Linked DNA regions of Drosophila melanogaster. The protein of the gene in region 4 interacts with the protein of the main gene of each other region in a pairwise test. Each region holds a gene or a part of one and is shown on either strand. Other genes may lie near its edges. The genes, in order: Vti1a, CG15012, CG1637 and rtv.

What was found.
Region 1: the proteins of rtv (region 4) and Vti1a interact in a two-hybrid assay, tested with the Drosophila melanogaster proteins (one large-scale study listed by BioGRID).
Region 2: the proteins of rtv (region 4) and CG15012 interact in a two-hybrid assay, tested with the Drosophila melanogaster proteins (one large-scale study listed by BioGRID).
Region 3: the proteins of rtv (region 4) and CG1637 interact in a two-hybrid assay, tested with the Drosophila melanogaster proteins (one large-scale study listed by BioGRID).

What each region holds. Positions count from the first base shown.
Region 1 is NT_037436.4:690,411-694,825, reverse strand, and holds Vti1a (vesicle transport through interaction with t-SNAREs 1a), read left to right. Parts: upstream 1-1,906; 5' UTR 1,907-2,047; coding exon 2,048-2,141; intron 2,142-2,205; coding exon 2,206-2,804; 3' UTR 2,805-3,340; downstream 3,341-4,415. Other genes in the region: CG13894 (uncharacterized protein), read left to right, coding at 1-1,543; RabX6, read right to left, coding at 3,416-3,877, 4,027-4,206.
Region 2 is NT_037436.4:4,290,226-4,294,471, reverse strand, and holds CG15012 (uncharacterized protein), read left to right. Parts: upstream 1-2,225; 5' UTR 2,226-2,318; coding exon 2,319-2,402; intron 2,403-2,462; coding exon 2,463-2,597; intron 2,598-2,655; coding exon 2,656-2,785; intron 2,786-2,848; coding exon 2,849-2,958; 3' UTR 2,959-3,264; downstream 3,265-4,246. Other genes in the region: Fdx2 (ferredoxin 2), read right to left, coding at 1,302-1,641, 1,730-1,848; Hexo1 (hexosaminidase 1), read right to left, coding at 3,293-3,359, 3,422-4,246.
Region 3 is NC_004354.4:10,873,016-10,879,931, forward strand, and holds CG1637 (uncharacterized protein), read right to left. Parts: upstream 4,784-6,916; 5' UTR 4,539-4,783; coding exon 4,400-4,538; intron 2,985-4,399; coding exon 2,788-2,984; intron 2,573-2,787; coding exon 2,226-2,572; intron 2,156-2,225; coding exon 1,459-2,155; 3' UTR 885-1,458; downstream 1-884. Other genes in the region: Ork1 (open rectifier K[+] channel 1), read right to left, coding at 5,501-6,916.
Region 4 is NC_004354.4:11,151,253-11,155,499, forward strand, and holds rtv (retroactive), read right to left. Parts: upstream 2,739-4,247; 5' UTR 2,641-2,738; intron 2,576-2,640; 5' UTR 2,426-2,575; coding exon 2,365-2,425; intron 2,323-2,364; exon of another isoform or gene 2,236-2,322; intron 2,109-2,235; coding exon 1,714-2,108; 3' UTR 1,232-1,713; downstream 1-1,231. Other genes in the region: Lint-1 (l(3)mbt interacting protein 1), read left to right, coding at 1-875, 986-1,128; Dlic (dynein light intermediate chain), read left to right, coding at 3,885-3,976. UniProt on the Drosophila melanogaster protein: Required for chitin fiber assembly and organization involved in cuticle formation and tracheal development.

The DNA.
Region 1 (4,415 bases), on a different chromosome or scaffold from region 4:
TTCGCGTCAGCACCCGAGTATGCAGTTCTTTGCGTTTCCCCGGCCGGAGAACCCCTTCCACAAGCTGTGGAAGGAGGCGTGCCACGCCTCCCTAAGACGAATTGTGCCCTTCAAAAAGCCAGTGGTATGTGCCCTGCACTTTGACCCCAGTGTCTTGGGTGGCAGGCGACTGCAGTCGAATGCGCTGCCCACCCTGCGTCTGGAAGTTCCCTCCAACCTGGAGGCCGTTGAGCAGCAGGCCATGGTGGAGGAGATCGAGAGGAGCCGAAAGTGCGCCTACATCAATGCAGTGGTATACGAATGGCTAGTAAGGGCCAATATCAATCCCCAGCTGCGAGGTAGCATTACCCACGGAATGATCAAGGACAAGGCGGAGAATGCCAGACAAGTCATAGGGAGCACATCCTTTATAGCAGACAATCGCTGGTTAAACCGTTTCCGAGAGACTCATCTTCAAGGCTTTGCCCAAAAACTAGCCAGCAACCAGTTGAAGCCACTAGGATCCTCCCTGTGGATCCCGGACATCGTACAGGACCTAGCCCATCTCTTTCCGCCCGCGAGCGCTGAAAGAGTGGCCAAACTGGAGGAGATGCCCGAGCAGTACATGACCTACATGCAACAGTACGGAGAATACGAAGAAGATGATGACAGTATGGATGTAAAGGAGCAGAGCTATCAAGAGCAACAGCAGCAGCAACAGCAGCACTTTGCCCTCCAGCAGCAACATATGCAACAGCAGCAGCATCAAATGGGCCACCCATGGCCACCGTTTCCAGGACATCCCGGACATCCTACTCCACACCCCGGGTTCGCCAGCTTCAACGACTTTTATTTCGAGCGGCATCAACAGCAAATGCAACAGCAACTCCAGCAGCAGCAGCAGATGCAACAGTTTCCACCCACTATGCCACCTCAAAGGGAACCCTTTCAGCCCCAATTGCCGCCAAATGTTCCACCGCAGCGGGCCAGTCCCTTCCAGCCCGTTCAGTTGGCCAAGAGACCCAAAATGGAGTCACCCGATGATGACGAAGTGCAAGAGATTAACTCAGCGGTGAACTCACCACCATATCCGCTAGCAGAATCAACCTTAACCAGCAAGCACAGTCGAAGTTCCAGTCCCAACGAGCAGAACAACAATAATAGCGGGGGAAGAGACAGTGCCAGCAGCAAGGAGAACGCCCCCAAGGGAGGCGGAACAAGTGGCAAATCCACGCCTGCCCTTTCTTCCAAGGGAAAGGACTCACCTGCACCAGCTCGAGCTGCGTCCACCAAACCCGCCTCTGCTCCCGCCTCGCCAAAAAAGATCCCCAATGGATCCAGCTCCTCCGGCAGCCAAACCAATGGACACACATCCCCAGACCCCGAGGATAAGAAGGCTTTATGCATGCTGAAGGAGTTGGAAAGCTACCACCAGGCCTTGGAGTACCTAAAACCGCTGGAGGACTTCGTGCTCTTCAAGGAGAACTTTCGGGCTATTGGCTTGCTGTCCCAATTGGAACTGGTGCTCCGAAAAGGGGACAAGGCCACACTGGTCGAGGGTTAAGAGTTTTCTAATCGCGGACCAGGACAGCACAAAACATAAATGTGATGAACAGTGTACATATGTATCATGTAGTATTATTAAATCGTACTACCGCCAAAACAGTTGCTTAGGTTAACAAAGAATCTCCACTCGCATAAAGCTGAACCTAATTAATTAATTTATTAATTACTCTAAGTACAATAAAATGGAATTTATAAAATAATAGATATGTTTGTGTTTTATTTACGTATTTAAAACGGAAGTTGGTTTTATCTGAGTTCTTACGAGAATATTGTAGTCCTTGAAGTTGGCAGTGTTTTTTACATGAGTATGGCAACGCTGACTCGAAATCAGAGTGACCACGACTTAAAAGTATTTATAGATTGCTGTATTACTGTTCACCTCATGACTCGGCCACACTTGGACAATGTTTACTTCTTTTCTTCGATAAATCTGTAATTTTCGCGAACTAAAACAGAACAAATACCATAAACAACTGAATAAGGTAGAATAAAAACCGCACAAATGTCGCTTCTGGAGCAATACGAACAGCAATACGCCACGTTAATAGCAGAAATAACGGCCCATATTGGACGGCTGCAGCAGCAAAACAACAACAGTGAGTGGGATGATTGTCCATGGATTGTACATTATGGTGATTACCATTTGTCCATTTACTCCAGGCGAGCGCCATGATTTGTGCAGCAAGATCGACTCCAGTTTGCCCGAGGCTCAGGAATTGCTGGAGCAGATGGGTCTGGAGGTGAGGGAGCTAAATCCTGGACTGCGGAGCAGCTTCAACGGAAAGCTGCAGGTGGCCCAGGCAGAACTGAAACGGCTGCAGGCGGAGTACAGGTTGACCAAGGACAAACAGCGCTCCCAAGCCAACACATTCACCACTCTGGACTTGGGTGACAGCTATGAGGATGTGTCCATAAGTACAGATCAACGCCAACGCCTCTTGGACAACTCGGAAAGGATTGAACGGACGGGCAACAGGTTAACCGAAGGGTACAGAGTGGCCTTGGAGACGGAGCAACTGGGCGCCCAGGTCCTAAATGATCTGCACCACCAAAGGGAAACTCTACAGGGAGCCAGGGCTCGACTTCGAGAAACCAATGCCGAGCTGGGAAGAGCTTCTCGCACTCTGAATACCATGATGTTAAGAGCCCTGCGGGAGAAGGTGGTCTTGTATGGAGTGGGTGTCTGCTTTGTGGTGGCCGTGGGCGTCAGTCTCTATCTGACCTTCGCACCCAGTTCAAGCAGCACCGCCTCGTCGTAGTAATTTTAGCTAGCAAACCAATAGCCAATGATCTTAGCCCAAATTCAAATGTTATAGAAGCCTGTCCATTCCAATTTCGTGAGTTGATTATTTATTGTTTAGTATATTTTATTTTTACGAGATATTCTGTGGAAGAAAGCTGCAGATTACGCACTAATCTATATAAGATAGGATGGAGTATTACGTGCAATAAGAGTCGAAGCTTAGAGTAGTTATCTGCGGTCAATCGATGTCTATATATTTTGTTGTCCTTTTACCTTTAAGATTAAATTGACCTTCTTGTTAATCGATGGAATTCCTATTACTTTTTAATTCTTACCGCAGATTTCTAACCTATCACTCGCGTATCCGCCATCCTAGCTTACGTGTACAAAGTTTAAGTGGTTAATGTTTGGCGCCTGGTTAATAGAAACTAATCCTACTCTATGACTCGTGTTCGCGTTCGGGACGTATTTTTCGTAAAAATTCGAATTGAACATGTACGTATCTAAAAATCATAACATAGCCGAAAGCTATCAATAAATAAAGGAAACAGTAAAAATGCATCTCTGCGTGAGCATTGAGCCTGGCGGGAATAAGGGTTCCTAGCCGAACTCAATGTTCCCCAACTGCTAGCAGCCGCAGGAGGAGGCGTCCTCCTCGTTGGTCGCCGCGCCGCTGCTCGCAGTGTCCACCTGGAAGCTCTTGTGCTCCAGTGCCTGCAGTTCCATTTTGGAGCGATTGGCGTGGACCAGTTGCCTAGAGATGTCACGGAACATCTCCTCCACACCGGCGCCGCTGCGACAGGAGGTCTTGTACGTGGCACTGATCAGTGAGTGGCACTGCTCGCAGAAGGCCTCCACTTCCTCATCGCTGACCTCCGGCTCCCTGCCATCCAGATCGCTCTTATTGCCACAGATGAAGATCTTGGCATTCTCTGCATAGGTCACAATGTCCAGCAAGTGCTGCGACAGCGAGTGGAACGAAGCGGCGTTGTCCAAAGCAAAGACCAGGATGGCTCCCTCGGCGAACTTGTAGTACGAGGATGTGACCGAGGCCACACGCTCCATGCCACCGGTGTCCCAGAGTTGGAGCTGTCAAAGAAGACGGTATATACATAAGTGTCTCACAACGCAATAAGTTGTAAGTCTGAAGAACTGTGGCTTTCGTCTAGAAATCGAACTAAAGAGCTTAAGGATTCATATCTCAGCCATCACGCCCTTTTAGAGGTTCCCGAGCCCACCTTGATCTGCTTTTCATTCACACTGTATTCCCTATCGATGTGGTCCAGTCCCAACGTGGATTTCCTGTCCGTATCCGTGATGAAGGTGTTGGTGGCGAAGCGCCGGAACAGGGAGCTCTTGCCCACTCCGTAGTCGCCGCACAGGATCACCTTTTGTTTGGGTATGCGCATCGTGGCCATGGCTGTGATCGCTCGATTAATCCCAAGTTAATCCAATTAATATATTATTTTGCACCTGCAGACACAAAGGCGACAACAACAGTGCGACAACAGCTGTTTGTGCAAAAACAGCCAACATCGCAGAGTTGCCAGCCATTTGAACGCTATCGATAACCGATAATTCGAGTTATTCGAATTCAAATGGTCTTATCAGTTGAGATCTGCATTTG
Region 2 (4,246 bases), on a different chromosome or scaffold from region 4:
CCGATCGGCGTGAACAGAAAACCAAATCAGTTTTATGTGCACTTCAGAAACACTCATTCCAAACCCATTCCCCATAGGCACCCCCCATCCCATAACTATTTATTCTTTGGTTATTTATTGAGATCCCACAATCCGCCACTTTCAAATGGTTTCCTACTTTACCACTACGCTCTATCCTTCATATGTTTCCCTAGTTTTAGGCAAAGCGAAATTGAATTGTCAGACTTGTTAAGTTTCAGTTATACCTACGCGGGATTTGAGGCCATCTGAACGAACAGATTAGCCTCGAATGTTACAATATGCAAGTTAATAATATCGAGAAAATAAACACAAACGAAGTAATGAAGCGGCAAACATGGAAAGGCAGAAAATCGTTTACAATAAGTTAATATAGCAAATGTATATATTAAATTATTTATTTATTACTTTATTTGATAGCTGCGAAATAATAAAAAGTTTACTTTTATTAAGCGACAAGTGTTTTAATGCGTTCTAATAGTACCTCTGATTATCGGAGCTTGGGAACGACTGATAAGGAAACGCAAACAAAGCTAATGCAAACTTTATCAGTGTGATGAAATGTTTGTGTGGGGGGCTTTGATAACAGCCCTTGTGTTGGCCGTGACTGGAAGTTTTGGTATAAACAAAACAAGTTTGGCAAAACGAATGAATAGAATAAAGAATAATATGGTTCGCATTGTCATACAAGCGAGGCAAATAGGAATATAAAATACGATCATCTTGAATTTGCTAACTAATGATCATAAACCTGTGTTCAAAAGTATACTACACACTTTTATTAGAACTATGATGCCGAGGAAAATCTTTGCGTGTGCCTGTTTATTTGCCGAGCACAACTTCGAGATCATGAATACACGCAGAAAAACACTTTTTAGCTGAGATATTTAAAAAACAAGAATGACCGATTTAAAATCGGCTAGTTTTGCCAATAGAATTAAAAAGGCAAATGAATTATTGGTTAAAAATGATATCTACGCTGGATGCTTTCCTCCACAGTTTCAATAAAACCAAGAGAAGTACGAAAATACATGTAAATTTATTGCAACACACTTATTTACATATTGATCTAATCCCTTTGAGCTTAAACACTTTAAAAACAACAGCGGACGCTAATCCGCAACTGGAATCGGATTAATGCGCGCATCCATTATAGCCGCCTGAGGTTTGTGTCCCTGGGACAATACATACGATTTCGTTCAAAAATATTGACTACATCTAGGTTGAACTAAAGCGAATTAGCACTCAAATTTGTAACAATTGATAACAGTGGTGGTGTCTATCTACGCGGCACGTGCGTCATTGATGGTGGAGGGCACATGTACCTCCAGGCCCTCCATATCCTTGGACAGGGTGATCTGGCAGCCCAGCCGCGAGGTGTCCGTCAGTTCGTACGCCAAATCCAGCATGTCCAGCTCCTCATCACCGGGTTTGTCGGGCAGTTTCTCGAAATCGCTGGTCTTGAAGATCAGGTGGCAGGTGGAGCAGGTCAGCGTGCCCTCACAGGCCCCGAAACCATCCAGATCCACATTGTTGTTGACCACCACGTCCAGCAGGGAGTCACCCACTTTTCCGGACGTCTTAATCTTGTCCCCATTGGCACGCACGAAGGTTATGTTAACACTGCAATAGCGAGATTGGTCAATGTTTACGCTGCTCTGGCGGTGTGGAGCTACCATTGTAGTGCTCGTGGGGTGGAGAAGATACTCACACATCTTTCGTTTTCAGGGCCAATCCCGTCGAGAAAGTACGCGTTGCGATCGGCGATCGCAAATTGAGGCTGCGTAGCGCCAATCTGGAGGCAGCTCTGCATGAGTTTATGACTAGCATTCTGGTTAGGATTCCTTTGCAATCTCTTACTATAACTGACAACACGCACCCACTCGTGTCGCTGCGATCGGTTGTTAAATAATAAGGAAATCAATTAAATTTTGTTAAACGTGAAGTTGTGTGTGACCGTATTGGACTTTCTGAAAAAGACGTCGTGCCTTTAACGTACTAAAAAACAACAACAAACTGCATAAGCAGTAATTTTAAAGTTAAACATTTAAATGTTTGCACAAATTATTGCACAAAATATTTAATTAACAGCAACTTTCTTTTTATAACGGAGTTAATTTGTGTTACACAAAAAGTATATGTTACTGCTGCAGTTCAGGTGTGAACACACTAAATACTGAAACAGGGTTGCTACAGCGAGTGAAGAAACCCTGTATTCACCTGCAGACAGACAACCCTGTGCGTCAAAACAAGAAGATTTAAGAGTGGAATAAATTTAATTACGTTTTAAAACCTAAACAATGGGCGTGTTGGACAATATTGCGTTGCATTTCACGGGGGATGCGTCCAGGAACAGGAACACCTCCATAATAGCCGGACTTCTGGTAGGCTAACACCCGCAAACAAAGAGCCGCCCGCCTGACAGTGCAACTTTTTCTCCTTAGTTTTTCGCAGGATGGTGGGTTCTAATCGATGCCATGTCCATCGACGGCAAGCACCAGATTACCACAGGACACGTCTTCATCGGCATCTTCGGGACCATCAGCTTCTGCATGGTGAACGCAGTGAAGGGAGAACATGTAACACACACTTATCATTGGGCTTAACAAGTGACTCACTTCTTTTGTTTGTGCGCAGATTTCTGATGAGAACTCATCGGAGTCCGGCGCCAGGATAGCGAAGATCTGGCTGCTTGTGGGCTTCCTAATGGGTTTTGCCTCCATCATTGCCGCCATCTGGGTGATGATCGACGACTTCATCAACAATGGTGAGAAATAAACAGATATTTAAGGATTCCTTAGCTGAATTGCACCCACTTATCGTTTTTCAGAAAAGAAGGATGGCTGGTTTGGCGTGGCTCTGCTGATGCAAAACGTCTTCATCCTGTTCGCCAGTTTGGTCTACAAGTTTGGACGCAACGAGGAAGAGTGGAATGAGTAAAGCTTCCATTCAAATTATTGCACAAGGGAACGCAGCTTTTAGTATCTAGACTCATTACGTACATAATCAGGAGTCCAAGGAGTTTATGCTTGAGGCCGAGGACACCATCACTCGCAAATCCTCACCCCACACATTGAAGCGTAAAATGTCCAACTCTGCTACTGTTCATATTCGAAAAAATCGTCGAGTCTGTACGGATTTCCCTCACTATTTCCGACATTCTGCCGCTTTGAATCGGAAAAGGGCGCAGAGCAGGGCCAATAATCTCATTTATATTTAACAAAATAAACGACAAGTCACTTGCGTAAGGCCACCTTTGAGCTGTACTTTATTTTCAGGCAGAGAGCGTTGTGAGAAGCAACAGGACGATCAACCCAAGCCGCCCGCTGCCCCGACTACATCTACAAGGATAGCGACCGTTAAGAGAAATGGTTTAATAGCTGGTCAAACTTGTGCATCGTACGCGTCAATGGGACACTCGTGCTCGTTTTGCAGGCACCACTGCGGCTGCATGGCCTCTGCGCCCAGACCATTGTCCACCAGTCGCTGGCGGTGGAGCAGCAGACGTGACTCCGCCTGGCGCCAACCTTCGGCAGGATTTGACCAAAGTCGTTCGGCCAGGGCACTGGCCCTGGGCCAGAAGCGGTTGTCCAGTGTGTGCTCGTCGATCTGCTCTGACCAAATGGCTCCCTCCGCGCCCAATACATGATGCTCGTAGTCGCCGGCAATGGATTTCAAACTATTGTCGTACACCTTCTGCCAGCCAATGTAGGGGGAGCACCAGTTGTTTCCATCGGTCACCCAGCCAGCTCCGCCGCAATCCAAGTACAGGGCATCGTAGTTGGACACAATGATCTTGTAGCCCCGCTCCAGAATCTTCTTTACCTTCGGATCTACACCAGTGGTCCAGATCTGAATGATGTAACGCTCTGGGTTCAGATACTCGTCAATGAAGGGCTCCTCAGTGAGTCCACTAGTCCACAGAATGATGGGCGTGTGCGTACCATTGGCCACCTTGTCCACGCGACCAAGAGCCTCCGTCTGGAAGTGTCCCCACAAGCGCATAAAGTCGGCGGTCTCCAGGCCCCAACCCTGTTTCTTCATCCACTGCTGGATGGGCTGGCTGCTGTTCCAGCAGCTGGTTGACACTTCATCGCCGCCCATGTGGAAGATATCCGGGTTGAACTGATCGAACATGGTGCCGTAAATGTCCTCCAGCACATCGTACATTTCGTTCACAGTGGGATCGAGTTGGCCACACGGTGGCTCAACGCAGAACGACTTCCAT
Region 3 (6,916 bases), 280 kb from region 4:
ACCCGGCATGCTGAACCGATTGATGTAGTGCGAAAAGTTGCTATGGGTTGAAAGGGAAAAGTCCTTATATCAGTCATCATCATTATCATCATCGCAATTGGCTTGTGGTGTAGCACTTACTACTTCTCCTCGTGGTTGCCCACGCACACCATATATGGTAAGTAGGCGGCTATGGTCTCCACCTGGCGCATAAACTCGTCGCCGACCTCTCCGTTTTCCCAGTCCATGTCGTAGGCGAAGTCTCCCACATGGATGATGGCGTCGTACTGGCCGCTCTGCGTTTCACGCTGCAGCGCTGGAAGGGATGCCGCATTCACCACGCCCATATCGCCGTAGATCGCCAACGAGGGCGACCAGTCGGCGTGATCGAATCGCGTCCGAAACCAATAGGTGGCGGACCAGCCCAACTCACTGCCACAGTGGTAGAGATAGGTGCTATTCGGTTTCAGGTGGGACAGCGTCACCTGCATTCGGATGGGTTCATGGATTAGATGCCTTCGTTTGCGACTCTTGCTGCGTCGTTACTCACACGATGTATATACTGGGTGGCCTTTTTGGCTCCACCATCCACGAATTTCGTGGGCATTTGCGTCGCCTTCACTCGCTGATGCAGTCCATCGATGCCGAACTCACAGATTGATTCGTTGGTGTTGTCGCGCGTGTTCCAGGTGACGACAATGTCGAGCACGGTTTCTGCACAAGCACACTGATTAACTAGGAGCTTAACACTGAGCATGTCACATATTTACAACACTTGTCTACAAGATGAAGTCAACTATTAATGGATTCACTCACAAACCATTTGATTGATCGTTGAATTCTCAATTGAGTTGTTCCCAGTTTTATGATATTGAATTGTTTTATCCCAAAACAATAAGCACAATGAAAAGTTCAAGACATTTATTGTAAAGATACTAGGCATTTAAACAACAATCAGTGTACAATCGGATTGCCGTGACTATAATAAACCCGGTAATCGGATTTCATGTACTTATTGATAATAAAAACCGATCGGGTGCATATCCATTAGTCCTTTAACATTGATCCTAATAAGTATATCAAGTACATCCCATACACATTAAAAACAATTTGCTTAAGACAGCAGTTACCGAGTACCAGTTTTTGAACATCAAGTAACATGCGACAGAGATAAGAAACTAAGTTCATTTACGTTCTTATCAGCTTATGTTAAATGCACACTTAAAAGCGCTTGCATATGTGTAAATGCTGCGTTTGTTAAATTGGCTAAGTATAAAACTGTAGTTTGTTTCGGGCTGGGTTGAGATATTTGGATAAGGAATGTGCCACGCTTATTGCTATAGTTTGTGATCGAATCAGGTCGAGGCGAATGTGCGCTACTAATACTGCCTGTTGCTATTGATGCGTGTAATGCCTCGAGAGACTCCTTTAGCTTGAATTGATTCGGCTCAGGTTATGGTTCAGATTGGGAATGACTATTTAGTTTCGGTAGCTTCCATGCTTGGATTTCACCAACCAAAAGTCATCGATGATGGCGCCGTTCTTGTCGTCGGACACCTGCTCGAAATGGATATGTGTTCGATTGTGAGCCTTGAGCCGTGTGTAACCATAGTCCTGGCTGTGAAAAGCGCTCCATTCGGGTATTTTGCCCTTGAATGGTTCTCTTCCCTCCTTGCAGCCGGCGGATCCTGTGACGATGTGCACAGGGGCACTAGGATCATTGTACGGCGAATCCTTCAGCGTTCCATTGCGCACCTTGTAATCGTAAATGGGCCAGAGTCTCTCGTAGGAGTGCTCGTGCGCCCAAATGGCCACGTCCACGCCGAACTCGTAAAGCAGCGGCTCCAATCCGAACATGTGTACAAATGGCCAGCCCACCCGCGTGAGAGTCTCTGAGTGGGTGCAGTCATTGTCGTTCTCGTTGCTGCAGTACATGGGTCGATGACCGTACAAGATGATCCACGGACGCTTGTTCCGATTCTCTGGCAGATTGGCCTTGGCCAGATCCTCACGCAACCATTCGAACTGGAATACCAGCGGCTTTAAACCATAGTTGAGAAAGTAGTAGACCTCCGTGCTAATGCCCACGAAGTGCACGGGTCCCAGATCGAAGCTGTAGAACATGTTCTCCGTACCTCCCGGCATACTGAAGCGGGCACGATAGTTCGAGAAGTTGCTGCAACACCAACAATTAGATCCTGCTTCTACCAAAAAACACTCTACTCTCTGCTCTACTAGCTACTCACAACTTCTCCTCGTGATTGCCGGGAACCACCATGTATGGCAGGTAGGCAGCCACCGTTTCGATCTGCCGCATAAACTCATCCCCCACGCGAGCATTCTTCGTGTTCATGTCGTAGGCGAAGTCACCCACATGGATGATGGCATCGTACATGCCGCGCTGCGTCTCCTGCTGCAATCGGGCCAGGGATTGGGCATTCTCATTGCCCATATCCCCGTAGATAGCCAGCGATGGCGACCAGTCAACGGATGCCGAGGGCACTGTGCGAAACTGGAAGATGGCCGACCAGCCAAAATCGCTACCGCAATGGTAAGAGTATGTGGCATTTGGCTCCAGGTCCCTAAGCGTCACCTAAGCAAAGTAAACAATAAGTTTTTCTCTCTCTTTCTGGTACATCAACTGCGATGTCAAGGTGGATCGATTGATTGTTAAGAGATGGAGTGCAAGCAGTCCTGGCTCATTGGTTCTTAATTTGGTTCTAAGAGCCGGATTCAAGGTTGCATTCCTCTTACATTCTCACATCAATCTACTTGAATCGTTTGATCGGTTGCATACTCTATGCATACCCTGTGGATGAACTGCGTGGCCTGCTTGTGACCGCCGTCCACGAATTTAGTAGCCTTTCCCCGGGCCTGTTGGGTGAGCCTGACCTGTCCGTCTACCAGTTGACCGTACTCCACCACGCTGACCGCACCCACTTCCTGATCCGGCGGCAGGCTGCGCGTGGACCAAGTGACGACTATCTCGCTATCGGTGCGTTCTGCTTCAGAGGACAAGCGGATATCGAGAAACGGGGAAGAGTAAAAGAAAAACAAACTTGAGCAATTTCGTTGGTCCAATGTTGGTACGTTTCAAATGAAAGGAAAACAAACAATTAGCCCCCATCCGGCATCTAATATCATTTAGATTTGGCATTAATACTGATTACTAAACATGAAAATGTATAGATTTATAGTATAATATAAACAATGAACTCGAATTCCAGATTTGCCACGATAATGATTCGCATAATTAAAGTTGATTGAAACAAGTGCTACTTGGTTACTTTAATGAATAACTTCAATCCCATTAGCATCGCTTGTGCCAAATTGAATTTGAATCTGTAACGGGTGCAGGGTCGTCCAGTCATTCATGACCAAATGTTATTGTCCAATAAAACCCTGATATTTTTGCTTTGCAGCGACGCTCCATTGTTTGCTTCATCCTTATCGCCAACCCAACAGAAACTAGAAACTAGAACACAAAGCCAAATGGCCGGTGGGATGACGATCGACCGTATCGGCAAATATGAGGCCCCACAGGGAGCCAAAGTCTATCAATCTTTGGGTTGCATTTCAGGGTTTTGAAGTTTGCAATGCCCGCGTTGTCGTAGACAACAGTGGAACCCCAATATGGCGGAATAATGCTATTTTTTTTGGGGGGGAATCACCTGATTACAAAAAAGACTGGCCGAGCGGCTGACGTTTTTAATCTTGTTCAGTTTTTCGCCAATCGCACTACACAGCGATTAATTTTAGCATTGTGCACGAACACATTCACAGTGGCATACTTAAATTGTTTGTTAATGTTTTTGTGTTTGACCTGCCACCTCATCAGGCCTTAAATAAGCTTGAATTTATTGCTGCTTCCAAAAATTCGGAATTAGATGTTATCAGTTTTGGAGTTTTATGGGACTTTCGATTATTAATATAAAGCTATATTTATACAATATTTGGGGAAACCTTAGGTATTACCTTGTTGTAATTTGTAGGCTGTAACTAACGATCGTATAGATATTAACTACAATTAAATATAACTATGCATTGCGCCCGTTATTGTGGGTGCATTTGCATTTGTTCATCCCATTTATAGGGGCGACGACACTGATAATCATTTTATGTAGCAAATGATTCTGGGCGGGATTGGAAAGCAAGTATTGATATCACTCGATAAGTGCCTCTGGAATTGCGTACTATACGATCAATGTTTTTCAAAACCATATGTGATAATACACATAAAGGAAAATGTAAGTACAATGTAAGGTAATGTAAATAAAATAAACTTTCCTACGTGATAGATTTGTAATATTAGAAACTTATATGCCAAGCTATCATTTTTCTCCCAGTGTATTCTAACACTAATGCAACGCTGCAGGTGAGCAATTTACATAATGCGAAAAGTAAAGAAGATCGCACTCACCTCCAAAGGACAGATGCACTTGCTCCGGCTGATAGTGAACAATGTCGACGTCCTGGTCGATGGGAGTGCTCCTAATCCCCGGAAGAAGCAGCACCAGCAGGAGCAGCGACGCTAGCAGAGCGAATTGCAGTCTCTGCATTTTTACCGTTTTGTATTTACTTGTGTTTGTTGTTGCACAGTAACGCAGTCAGCAAAAACATTGCCAAATCACAATTGCGTCGTTGTCAAAGTGGGGACACTTGGCTCGGGGAGTCGTTGGAGTTAAACGGGGGAATCGACAAATTCGCTTGCGGGAACAACAAAAAATGAGCACTAATATGGAAATATCCAGCAATTTATAAGCGCAGCCACAACAAAAACAATCCGGGTGCAGTGTGACCTTGGCCGCCGAACAGCAAATGCCAGTGGTAACGATTGCACGCTGGCGACAACTATCGATAGAAAGCGATAAGTGAGCGCGCGATTTGAACTTGATACGTAAATAAATTACGTGAAAATGACAAATTTATCTAAAGCTGTTTGAATAAAAATGAAATAGCGTTTCAAATTCAAAACAGCTCAATTGGTTATTCTATTGTTAATACATTTCGACCAATTACTCAATTTCAATTAAATCAATCAATTAGAAATGTACGCATTATTGCAGAATATCTTTATTATATAACAGCATATGAAATGTTTTGGGGAATGAAGTCCCTCTAAGAGCTAAATGAAACTACACACAATTCGAGATCCTTTGTCGGTCCCAATTGAATGCTTGAAAACATGCGGATCGTTTTGTTCATATAAGCGCCTTCTTAGCAATAAACATAGAAGAATATATATATAGATATATAGATTAGGGTATATGGGTATAAATACAGGATAACAATAGAGAGAGAGAGATAGAGAGATAGTTTTAACAATACATACAACTAGGATAACTGGATATACGTATGTAAATAGGTTTAAGGATAACATTAGCATAACAACTAAGGACTTTTGGCAGCCTTATCGACTTTGTGGCATACATGCTGTGAAATTGGCAAAGCAATTCCGCTGGACGTGGAAATACATATGTATACGATACAGGTAATACATCTTTCGGACAAGGAAACCTAACTACTTCTCGGCGGGGGCACCACTCGATCCCGTGGCCGCTGCACTGGGCATGCTGCTCTTGCGCTGTGCTTGCGAGATCTGCACGATCCTCGAGAGCGGCGAGTGGGTGCTGCTGGTGCTGGGTCTCGTTCCGGCGGGCAAGGGCAGCAGCCGTTGAGCGGACGTTCCGCCAGACTCGTCGATGGCCCCCGCTGGCAAGGCGCTTCCACTTCCTCCGGGCGGCGACGTGGGCGACAGTTCGCGGGCCAGTGGCGAGGGTCGCAGCGAGAGGCGTCGCTGGAGCGCCGTCTGTGAGGACTGCTCCATCAAACTGGCACCTGGTGGCGGCGCCTGTCCCGGTGGAATTTGCAGAGCAGTCGGTCGCACGCTAAAGCGACGACGGAATTTGCTCTGAACAGTTGGCGCATTCGATGGACCGGCTGTTATTTGGCTTTGATTTGCGGCTCTCTCAGTGTAACTGGGTGGCGGTTCCAGCAGGGATCTGGCTGCCGGTGCGGTGGCTGCTCCACCAGTGGGCGATATGCCAACAATAGTGGAGCGACGCGCGTACAGCCGATTGGCAGCCGCCGCCTGCAGTGTCCTCGTTTGATCGCCAGCGAAGAGCGACAGGATCGGCGGCAGCTGCGGTGGCTCCAGTCCAGCATTGCCCATCTTGCGCTGTTTGCGGCTACCCCTCGATATTCCGCCTCCACCGGCAGCTCCTCCAGCCGCTGCCGCCTGTTGCTGTTCATCAAGCACGGCATGGGTGTGCACTACCTCGAGCGCACGAATCAGATCCGCAATGGTCGTCTGCTCCAGCACATTCATATCCTTTTCGGAGGTAACCGAGAATATGCTGCTACGGCGCGGAGCAGAGGTCAGCGATGATGCCGATGCTGTAGCTGGGAAGAGGCTGCCACGACGCGCGGCCACTGCCGCCATGGCCGCCGATCCAGAGCCACTGGTTGCCAAGCTGCCGCGTCGCATCTGCATCTGGGCCAAGGCGTGCGCGGTCGGCGGATACATGCTGCCCCGGCGAGCGGATGGGGCTTGATTCTGGGTGTAGATGCTCTCGCGTCGGCGCTTGCCAGCAGCCGCCTTGCGTTGATAGGCTCCACCGCCCAATGCCGATGGCGGGGTTGCTCCATCCTCCATCTGGAAGCCCATGTTCGTTAGCCCGCCGCCGCCGCTGGCCAAGCTGCCATTCGATTCGAAGGGCGGTGGCGGACCGCGTCCGTTGCGCAAATAGGATTGACTGGAGGCCGCCGTGACCGTGTTGCTGTAGTAGTCCAGCGGGGATCTGGCTTGCTGCGAGATGACACCCTCGGGTACCGAGACCACGGACAACTTGCGCTCCAGATCCTGCGAGGGGCGCTTCTTCTGGAAGGGAAACAGACGTCGCAGACCATCCGGCATGGAGAACTTCTTGACGCGACC
Region 4 (4,247 bases):
AAACTTTCACGTTGTGGCCCAGAGTCGCAAGAACTTGCAGCAGGCATTGAGAAGGGCCAGAAAGACGAAGCAGCAGCCACGTTTGTTCGACGACGAGGAGGACCTGGAGATCACCAGTTTGCAGAACGATCGCAACAAGAACAGAACCAGCGATGGCAAGGGGACACCGCCATCGCTGGAGCCAACGAATGCTGCCGCCAATCAGGCAGCCAAGAAGACCATCCCACAAATGTCTAGTCAGGGGATGGCGAAGAATAATACCGCGAAGAGCAAAAACACGTGCAGGAAATCCTCGCCAACGCCCACATCCAGTGGACAGTCGCAGCCAGCGGTATCGTCATCCGGCAGCTCCGATGATTCCAGTGCCGAGCTGCAGCAGGAGCAGCAAAGACGCGTCGCATCCGCCGCCCAGTGGCGCGATGAGCCGCGCGAGAGCCGCACCCAGCCGGAGGAGTACGGCCAGGAGACGTTCCTCGGCCTCTTTGAGCTCTACTCGCCGGAGGTGCTCAAGAAGCTCAGTCAGCGCCACTCGAAGCGCAAGCGTCGCACCGTTCAGAATGCCAGCGGAGTGGATTTTCACTATGGCCAGCAGTTGAATGCCGTGGACGCGTTAGTCATGGGCGTTCGTGGTCAGAAGAAGACCAAGGAGAAGTCCGAATTCCTGCTCTCGCCGACGGAAAAACGTTTGCAGGCCAACTCGAAGAGGACGTACACACGCAAGAGCAAGTCGCCGGACGAGATTTCGGAGAAGAGCAGCGCAGGAGGAGGATCTGGCGCATCGGGAACTGCGTCTTCATCAGCCTGTCAGCATAAAGACGGCGGTGCCTCCAAGTGCCGCAAATGCCGCGAGTGCCGTGAATGCAAACGTCGTGTGGGTGAGTCATCCACCAACCACAAACTTGTTGAGTTGGTTTTCTTAAATTCGTATTACCCATTTAATGATTTTATTAATATTTTATTGTTTTGCTTGTTTTTTTTTTCCCAGAAACCGAAGCGATGTACTGCCACTTGTGCAGCGGATTATACCACATGGACTGCCACGAGTTCACCAAAAATCGCCAGCTGATGCAGCTGCAGAACTCTCGCTGCCCCCCATGCTTGCGCGAAAAAGATAAGTTGGAGAAGTAGTGCGTTGCCAAGTGAGCCATTGATGTTAAATGTTTCTCATTCTTGCATAAAGGATTGTATATATTTGAATCAACCCTAGTTGGTATGCTGAGTTCGTGTTTTTATATTAAAATTTATTATTACTTAAATGATTATATGATTATATAAATGATTATTATATTCTTATTTTATAAATATACTAATTAAAACGAATGGATATTCTATTTGCAAACAAAGAGAATGGTGTTACGCAGCAGGAGTGATTTAATTAGGTATATGAATAATATTCATATTGTTTCTTTTTCGCAAACAATCGAGTCTGTTCCACTGATAGCTGATTGACCCGAAGTCGGGATCTATGCCATATATAGCCATAATCAATGGTTACATATTGAATGTAAGTACCTTATTTGCGATCGGAAAAATGATACGAAAAAATGCACGAGTAAACGGCAATAAAATCTTAAGCAGAGCAAGAACATTCGATTTTAAGTAATAACAAAAAATTGTTTGTATTTATCGAACTGTTGATATTACATTGAGTGTTGCTGAGTATTGGAAGATGTATATACACATTGCCGGCTAAGAGCACAGAAAGCAAACAGTCTAGTTTCGCATCCGCTGGAGCAGCCAGGAGCCGAGCAGCGGCAGCATGGTGATGAGGATCATCTGGGGTGCACTGGACCAGCTCCTCGCGCCGTTGCACAGGTCGCCCTGGCAGAAGCACATGTACACCTTCTTATAGTTGTAGATGGTGTCCGCACAGCGATCCATGTTGTCGTCCGGACCGCGCTGCACGCACATCCGCTGGATGGCCAGGTCGTAGTCGTCGATGGCATAGGTGCCGCCGCCCTCGATCACCTTGCCGCACCAGCCGCTGGCGCACGGGATGGCCGCCACTCCCGGTTCCTGCTCCACGTCCGTTGCATTGAAGGTGAAGGGGTCCTTGCAGCTGCCCAGTTCGCCACGGGATCGGCACTGATAGCAGCGGCGCAGAAGGCCTACAATTGAAAGTTCAAATATTTAAAATTTAAAACATGGTTTTACTGAGCGTTTAAATCTAAAAGTGAATTAAAAATGAAAATTTTAAATAATATGCAAATGGAACAATTAAGCAAATAACAATACAACGGAAAAAGTTAGTTTTTAATTTGATTTCGCCGTTTTCCCCATGTGAAAATCGAATTATATCTCTCTCACACACACACAACACATATGCAACTTAAACAAAAGACTTCAACGAGAACACGAACTCACCATCGATTGAAACCAGACTTATGAGAAAAATCACAGCCAGTAAAAGGCTCGTAAATTGCATGGTCCCGTCTTCTTATTTCGCCTACTAACTAGTCAATAATGATAATAATGAATAATAGTAAATATATGTAAATGTTAAGTCAAGGAAGTTTAATCGTGAATTAGTGTTACCAGGCGCTGGAATTCCAGCGAATCCAAAAGGTAAAAAGCTCTGCAAAAATAAATAAATACGTTATTTAATATAAATATATGTATATACATATATACAAAAATTACAATTTTATCAACGATTAATTATTTCAAAAATATATTCCAAAATAATGCTAGCTAGATTAATTTATCGATAGTATCGATACTATTGCATGCTTGCATAAGTAAATGCTAGAATTTTAGTAGATACCAGAAATAGTAGCTTTGCCACAGCGCCATCTGCTGGAAATGCGATCAAAGTTCACAATGAGATTAAAGCGACATCTATGAGCAGCGTCAAATCGTTATTGGAATATTTACTTTTTAATTATTAGTTACTCGTTATTCGAAGTAATTTAACGGGTATCTGATAGTCAGTACCTCCACTAAAGCGTTCCCTCTTGCTATCATTTTACCAGCCATATAAATAAATAAACGCCGGGAGAAAAGTACAAAAAGAAATACAGAATAGTTACAAAAGTGATTGTTGTGGGAACGGTATTTCCCGCACCTGCTAGTGCCAAGTGTGACCATACCCGGGTCACCATTTGGTATCGGTATTTTTTGCAGTATTTTTACACGAATAATTGGTGCGAAAGGAAAAGCAAAGCAAAGCAGAAGTGAAGAAGAAGAGCAGTGAAGAGGAGAGGCAGTCAGATTCGACGACGCAACGGCGCTGAAAAAACTCCAGTGGAAACGCACACGAACGCGGCTCTTCTCCACATAAATATACATTATATTATTTAAGTTTGCCTTGTCTAATTGAAACGATCGAAAGGCTGTCCAGCGGAGAGGACGTGCGTGAAAATCCAGGGCGCGAGTTTTCACTGGAGAGGAGAGCGAAGAGCGTGAGAAACTGCGTACGTAGGAAACGGAATAAAAAAAGTGGGCAATCAGAAAGGAGGAAAGAAAGAAAATAGAGTGAGCGAGAGAGATAGATTGAGTAGAAGAGGAAATTTTGCGAATTTGTCAGCAGCTGTGCGTCGTAACTAAAGCAACAGAATTGGAAGTGAGAGTGGGTGGGAGAGAGAGCGTGGTGACAAATGCATAGAGAATTAAACAAAAATAATACAAGTGCGCAGCCTTGCAGTAAAATTATTTAAATAGACTGCTAAATCATATGCAGCCGACACCTGGCAGCCGTCTCGCTCTGTCGCGCATGTGTTTGTTTTTGTTTGCCAACTGTTTCTCATCTTCCCTCTCTTCCACTCTCCCTCTCTCTCTTTAGCACTCTCTGTTGCAGCGCCAGCACATCCCGTTTCCCAATTGGACCCAGCCAGGAGTGGAGAGCGTTCCAATAGGAGCACCGCAGCTGCAGCACCAACAACAACATGGCGATGAACAGTGGGACGCAAACGAATGCGCTGACATCATCCTTTACCATGAAGAAAAAGGATGCGGCCGCGGAAAAGGAGAACCTATGGTGAGTGCAATTGCAGTAGTAGCGACTACTTCAGCAAGTAAACCTCCCAAAAAGGGAACACAACCCCAATTGACATATGCGTAATCCCCCAAAATGCAAGCACCAAGATAACTCAAGATATAAGATCAGTTACCAAAAAAACAGAAACTATAGAACAAATAAGTAGGTAGGTAGTTCGAGGTGGAAAAATATGAAATTTGAACCATTATTGTAATAATACTTAACTTTCAGAGCATGTAACTCTGTACATTACAATATGATATCGACAAAT